Arabidopsis thaliana: one gene and its partner. The protein of the gene in region 1 binds, or shares a complex with, the protein of each later gene. Each region holds a gene or a part of one and is shown on either strand. Other genes may lie near its edges.

Evidence for each region. Proteins that work in one complex are often made in the same cells at the same time.
Region 2: MAGO (region 1) and Y14 share a complex: the UniProt entries of both Arabidopsis thaliana proteins name them as parts of the mRNA splicing-dependent exon junction complex.

The regions. Positions count from the first base shown.
Region 1 is NC_003070.9:402,515-406,267, forward strand, and holds MAGO (mago nashi family protein), read right to left. Parts: upstream 1,943-3,753; 5' UTR 1,888-1,942; coding exon 1,672-1,887; intron 1,434-1,671; coding exon 1,257-1,433; intron 1,013-1,256; coding exon 953-1,012; 3' UTR 586-952; downstream 1-585. Other genes in the region: ALG12 (homolog of asparagine-linked glycosylation 12), read left to right, coding at 2,113-2,155, 2,243-2,328, 2,398-2,439, 2,551-2,596, 2,716-2,802, 2,916-2,971, 3,134-3,251, 3,379-3,437 and 2 more. UniProt on the Arabidopsis thaliana protein: Core component of the splicing-dependent multiprotein exon junction complex (EJC) deposited at splice junctions on mRNAs.
Region 2 is NC_003070.9:19,102,827-19,106,579, forward strand, and holds the start of Y14 (RNA-binding (RRM/RBD/RNP motifs) family protein), read right to left. Parts: upstream 2,108-3,753; 5' UTR 1,928-2,107; coding exon 1,657-1,927; intron 1,344-1,656; coding exon 1,207-1,343; intron 698-1,206; coding exon 543-697; intron 292-542; coding exon 246-291; 3' UTR 1-245. UniProt on the Arabidopsis thaliana protein: Core component of the splicing-dependent multiprotein exon junction complex (EJC) deposited at splice junctions on mRNAs.

The DNA.
Region 1 (3,753 bases):
GAACGCAATGCAATATCGAATATCAAATGCGGACTCGTTTTCTAACAATAAATTATACACCATCCAATTGTCAATATATATGGCTTCGCGTTTATCTCTCTTAACCCAAAGCTGCTGTAACTAACTAACTAACCAGCTACTAATGTTTCCCCGACCATCTTAAAAGGTAACTAACTAACTAGCTGATGCTAGTTGGTGCCTGAGCAGGGGTGAGATCAAAGGAATAACGAGAGTGGTGATCCCTTTTCTGTGCACAAACACAAGCCAGTCCCCGCCCTAACCATGCACCTGATCCTGCCACAAGATGAAATATGCATGTGACTCTCTGCAACACACTACAACAAGGTAAAGGAGACTAGTGCGTGCTTAACCTGAGGATGAATGGCAGGTGCGTCCTCTGTCTAGGCTGTGAGTAATCCGCCTGACACTGACAAATGAATCCTCCATTGTTCTTCCCGATTCATAAAAAGCTACTCTTGATATCTTCAATGCAAAACCAGATTTACGGGTTTTGGAGGAGCAGTTTGAATGGTCCGAGGGCGTTTTTTTAGAATGGAAACAATCCTAATTATCGACTAATCCAGCTAGTTTTTGATACTTTGTATTTTAGATAGATCACATTCCTTAGTTTAAATTGGCTTGAGGGAAAAGAAACATGCATCATATGTAGATGTACATTAGGGAGAGTGAATGATTTGTGATAAGAAAACAGCAAGTATATGGTTTTTAGAAGATAGGTTGTGGTTCATGAAAGGTTCTTCACATGGGATGTTGACACAAAAAAGGACCAAAAGTTGAGGTAGAACATCTTACATACCCACTTTCACCCAAATCCAACAAAAAAAAAAAACAGAGAACCAGAGACATAAAAACAACCAAACTTCAGTCACAAAGTCCTCATGTTCCCAACAAATTCATCGCGTCTTGACATGTCACAAACTGATTTTCTTCTCTAGATAGGCTTGATTTTGAAGTGCAGAGAGATGAGCGAAAAAACAAGACATTTCAAGTCCTGCAACCATGAAAGTTTCAAAAGGAATATGTTAGAGCACAAATAAATACAGAAACTAAAAAAAAAAAAACTACAGAACCATGTAAGGGATGAGTGTTAACAGCCAAACCCTAAATGTTAAAGTTTGAGACAGTGAATACGTTAAAAGGCAGAGTCCTAAATATATAATCGAGTCCAATAGAGTTAAGGGATTAGGTAAAAGAAAAGATGGTAAGGCAAGGGGTGGAAGAAAAAGAGAGGAGACCTGAACAAGATAGTAGAAGATGCGAAGTCCTTCAGGATCATTACTGCTCTGGCAATCAACAAGAGATCCAATCTTAGATGTAGCGAATGAGATATGCTCATTACCCAAGACGATCTCGAGCTCTTGCTTTCCAACACGGTCAGGTTCCGGCCAATTGTTATCGTCTTCTTTCAGAATCTACCCGCAGACAAATAATCACATGTCAGGTTGTACAAAATCATCCATTATTCCTAGATAATAGCATTAACAACGAAGAGGGTTCTAAACCTACAACACTAGTCAGGAAAGATGCCCTAGATCGACAAAAATCGAAGCAAAATCACTAAAACCCTAATTGGCTATTATAGCGTCGATTGACCAAAACGCGGACAATTAACAAGAGAGAAGCAAATCGGAAGAGAGAGAGAAAAAGGACCTCGCTCTCGGAGACGATACGCTTGCATTCCTTGAGCACGGCGGGGGTGAGAAATACCTCCTTGCGGATAATAGTATCGTTCTTGTAGTTAGAGTTATTGGCGTAACGGAGCTTACCGTCCTCTCTAAACTCGAACTCCAGGAACTCGTGTCCAAATTTCCCTTTGTGACCGACATAGTATCTCAGGTAGAACTCCGTCGCTTCTTCCGCGGCCATGCCTTCTCTTTTTTTCTTTCTTTCTCGAGATCGAGATTACCTCTCCGTGTCCTTTGCCCTTCTTTAAGTCCGTCCCCGCAAAAGAAAAAAGGTAATGGGCTTACATATTGGGCCAGAACCCATTTGTAACCCGAAAAGTTAAGGCCCAGTTTTAGTTTTTCTGTTTCCATCGAAATTGTGTGTGTATCCGGGCTGCCTGATTTCCGATTCCCCGATACAGAGACGATGCCGACGGATTCGAAAATGGCCAAGTTTCTTCAATCCTATGGTAATTTCTTCGTTTCGTCTTCTTAGGCGGCCAGATGATCTCTTTTTCTTTTTTTATATAACTGAAACTTTCGATTGGTGGGAGCAGGATATGATTTGATTCTGGGATCTGTAGCTGCAATCTATGTGGTCATGGCACCATATACTAAGGTGGAAGAGAGCTTCAACGTTCAGGTAGGTTTTCAAAGTATTTAGAGTCACACTCTTTCTCCGTTTTACTGAAACCGTTTCACTCGTCTCAAGTCAATGCACGACATTCTTTACCATCGCCATCATTTGGACTCTGTGAGTGACCTCTCTTTTTACTTCTTCTCTGAAGCTTTACTCTTTTTTTTTTTATCTCTAGAGTGATGTCAATTTTTACCGACTTCTGTCTTTTTATTTTTTTCCTATCAGTATGATCATTTGGAGTTCCCCGGTGTTGTCCCTCGAACTTTTATTGGTAAGGAGGGCTGTTGAATTTCGCTCTCTGTTTTTGCATCACCTGTTGATGGTTTTTTTTTTATCATTATACATTAGTGGATGGTTTTTTTTTTATTCCACTCTGATTTGTTCTTGCAGGAGCCTTCATAGTCTCTGTTTTTGCATCACCTGTTGTATCAATTATCAGCTGCCTTGGCTTCCCCAAGGTTTATAGCCTTGTTGCAGGTTTCTCTTCTGTTTCTCCCTCCCTATATAATTCCTTAATGAATCGCTAACTATTTTCCCCTAAACACAGACAAAACCAATTCACATCATAGTTTTATCATTTTGTCTTGCAGCTCGTTTGGTGTTGGGCTGCATCATATTGTCCACACTAAGATTTTTCCGGATTCAGGTATGAAGTTCCTTTAGTGCTTCTTTCCATACCACACTTCTGACTCCCCTATCTGATTCTTTGTCCCTTCCCATGTCCTTGGAATTGGGATCTCTTACATGCATCTTGTTGGCTGTTTTTCTCCTATATACTGCCACTGACCAAAATCTACTGGTTTGTCAGATAAAAAAAAAGTTTGGAAATCAAGTGGAAACTTTCTTTGTACTTTTCACCAGTCTTCAGTTTCATTTTCTTTTCTACTGCACTCGTCCTCTTCCTAATATTCTAGCTTTGGGATTAGGTAATTACTTCTATTCATCTTACTCTACTAGTAGTGGTCCTTCAGATGTCCTAGCAATCTTTCCCATGACCCATCTAGCGTAGGCCTTACTAGGTTCTGCTTATGTTTTTAAATTTTGATTTTGCAGTCAATCTGGCATATGGTAATTGGTTAAAGGGAAATTTTTATCCAGCTTTGAGTTTCCTGGTATGTATTATCTTTGTGGTGACATATTTTCTCGATTATAGATTTAGAAAATCGGTCATGCTATCCAGAACTATGGGGTTTGCTGACATCTCTGTTATCCGATAATCAGATTTTTGCCACTGTAATCTTCAGATGCGATACGATGTTACTGCTTGGGCCTATTGGTCTTGAACTTTTATTGGTGAGCTGGTGACGAATATTAAATAGTTTGGGTTCTCAACTTCTGTATATGTATAATTGGCCGTATACTTTACCGTTCCATCTGATGCGGGTGCTTTATGTTTGTCAATGACAGACCAAATCGATCTCCTTCTGG
Region 2 (3,753 bases), about 19 Mb from region 1:
TCCTCATCCAATGTTTCTCTTCTTTTACCAATACAAAGCATTAAAACAGATCTCATGGTGTTTAAACGCAACAATCCCATGCAAATGCATAAAGAGATAAACCAATGCAAAAGCAGCCAAACCCTACAAAAACCCCAGAAAAAAATTTGTTCAACACTCAGCGTCTTGCATCAGTACCTTACAGATAAGAGAGGGAATCCCTAATACAGAGAGATATGGGGAGAACTCTCCACCAAATCATACAATCAGTAACGTCTTCTCGGACTTCTTGAACGTTGCGACCTCCCATACCTGTAAAACCCCAATGATCAATGGATGATGATTTAAAGAAAGGTATAACTACTTGACAAGTCACAAGTGATTTCGATTCATTAGCATAAAGACAGTAAAGTTTGGTAGGTGCTTAGTACAATATACTACCTTGTCAACTGTTAAAACTTCTAAGTCTATATCTTAATTGATACTTTTTGACACTCTTGACTTCATATCGGCACAAGATCAGACAAGTCGTAGCGGAACAGAAAAGAGATTAGGATACAAACCTCGAGTTCTTTCTCCTGTAAGATTCACCACCACTGGGACCGCTGCTGAAGGCCCAGTCAACGCTAACATTCTGTGTTAGAAGCTCAGCACCATTCATTGCTGAAATAGCGCTCTGTGCTTCTTCCTTCTTCTCATATTCTATCAAAGCATATCCCTTATCAAAAAAAACAAAAGCAAAGTGTTACTTCCACTTCCATGAGAACTCAAGCAAACTAAAGAAAAATAATATTTGATTCCTAAACTCGCATCTAGAAGACAGCTTATCTTATTCGACCCGTCATTTCTGACACTTTGAAGTAACTTAAACGAAGTGTCCTTAGGGAACAGCATTGCACTTTACAGAATATTACATCTCCCTCTTAAAAGCAATGTAACATTGCAAAGATAAATTTATCATTTTTGGCTCTCAATTTCAGATATTCAGTATTACATTGATTAACACAAAGCATGTCAAAGAGTAAAGTCAACATCTACGACAAAACAGTATTGCATTCATCTCTAAATTACATCATGACAACAATCCAACAAATCAAGCTTCACTATAACAAACCAAAAGGCAAAATGATATCAACATAACTAAGCAAAAAAATTAGCTTCACAATAACTAACCAAAAGGCATAATGACATCAAGAGCCACTAAGAAACAAAGGCAAAACTCCATACCTTGACATAACCACTACGGCGATCGAGATTGAGATTTAGATTCTTAATCTCCCCAAAATCACCAAAAGCATTGGTTATATCCTCCTCCTGTGTCTCCTCATGAACTCCAGAGACCAAGATAATCCATCCTTCAACGGCTACACATAAACACACACAACAAACAAATTCATCCAAAACAGTCCCAATTCTTCATTACCCTCAAAGAAACTATGTTCTATCTTCACAGACTCTAGAACCATTACATTTTTTATAATGGTTACAAACTAAATCTAAACCAATCTAATTTTTTTCAAAAAACTTCTAGGTCAAATTGAATCCCAAACACAAGGGGTTATGAGAAACCCTAGAACAAATTACTACCACAAATAAATCAACAACGCGAAGAATCAGTATGCCAACACTAAAACCTAACTAAAAACAGCGAAAGAGGAAGAGATTTAGTGAAATTACATCTCTGCGGACCAGGACGGCCATCTGAACCAAGTGATTCGAAATCGCGTGAGGAAAGACGACGCTGACGATCGGAATCTTTCTCCTCGCGAAACCCACGGCCTTTGGTCTTCTTTGCTGATTCGCCATTAGCTCCGGCAATAGCCGACTTAAGCCTCGGATGTCCCGCGCGTGGAGAAACATCAGCTCCGTCAATAGCTGTACCTTCTTCGTCCATAAGGTCATCCTCCTCTGGCTCGAAATCGACTGCTTCTGATTCTATGTTCGCCATGACTTCCGCCGCCGTAAGATTTCCGATAGATCTCTTCCCGTTTCGCCGACTGATTTTTTGTTTCCTTTGTTTTTGGGGACGGAGCTCTTTCTTCTATCAAGATATTTCTCTGCCAGTGTTGTTTATAGGAATATATTGGACCTTAAGTGGGCTTATTTTGGGCTTTTACGCTTGTATTTCTTTCTCACGCTAGTTTTTCCTTTTCCCTTTTAAACAGGCTTTGATTAAACTCCTCTCGTCAATGTTAGTGGGCTTATTTTGGGCTCTTACTTTTTTTATTTATTCTTTCACGCTTCAGAGTAAGCTAAGCCTTTGATTTTTTAGGTTTCTTACAAAACAGGCTTAAGCCTTTGATGAAAACTTCTCTTGTTAATGTTACATTATCTGAATTTCATATGTCGAGAGTGAATCATGGCATACCTTTTTAAGCATTCATGATGTCAAATTATTGTATCACTTCATAATTAGGATACTATCAATCATATTGTGGTATTTAACACTTTACAGTCGATACTGGTCCATCTCTTTGATGGTGATCATCATTGTTTTATCCGTTTGCATACAATCATTATAGTCGAATATTGCTTTCTAATTCCCACTCTAATCTCAAATAAATCTCGTCCAACATGTTCGACCAAATTCTAAGAAAGAAAACATAGAGAGATGCAAAGCATTTAAAGAAAACAAATCTTAGTTCGTCGCCAATAATTACTTACGTCATTTAGAGGAGGGGAGAGCATTAATTTGGAAAACATTTATTGTCTGGTTCTGTTGACTAAAGTAGTACAAAACTCTGGTCAATTTACGACAACTATTTAACAACACACGTGTCCTTAAAGAAGCTATATCGACCGTTGATATAATATCTAAAGATAATCTTAACGGGTAGGATTTGGAAATGAAGTAACCGAAGACCGTACACTCGTTACAGTGTTGAGGAAAAATTAATGTCATGCGCGAGTTTTGGTGTGACGGGGAAAAGAACAGCTGCCTGACAAAATTTTGTTTTATGGGATGGGATAGGGTAATTGTTGTCGATGAGCCCTATACTAAAAATAGTAGACTTCACAGTTCAAGTGACCGTTTGTCTTTAGCTGGCCCGGTCATGAGAGTTAAGGGCAAAAAATATTTTACGGGCAGGTCCTAATATTTATAGAGTATACTTTTTCTTTACGGGCAGGTCCTAAGATTTATATAATCTATACATCACAATGCTAGTTTTCACTTAGCTATGTTCAGGGATAAGCCTGGCCCTTATTCATTTGGTTTTGTTTTTTGATAGAGTTTTTGACCTCATTTTTCCCCTTTTACTTGCAGGTTGTAACGCCAAAGAGTTTGGGAGAAAAAAAAAATTAAATCCACCAAACAGTTGTAATTATCAATTTTGTTGGAACCAAGTGATTCCCATTACTATAGGTGAAGAAACTAAAATCTTTATTAGTATAGAGTATAGAAAGTGGCAGACCAAGAATTTCTTTTTTTTTTTGGGGTCAAATAATTTAGTTAACTAAAAAATTACTTTATATAAATTATTTTAACTAAATAATTTAATTATCTCCAATAATCTTTTACTGCAAATATAAATTGTTCTTCTAACAAATCAATCTAATAAACAAAAAAACAAAAACGAAAACAATGTATTGAAAAAGCTACTTTATCCATGAAAAAGGGAATACATAGTGTTGATACCTACTAAAATCTGTTACTACAATCTTTTTAAAATCTGTTAATGCTCTTAATTTGCCAAAATAATCAGGTCAATATATATGATTTCTTTCCATTCTAATCTCGCTCTTTACGAAACTTGAATATCCCTAAAAATCGAT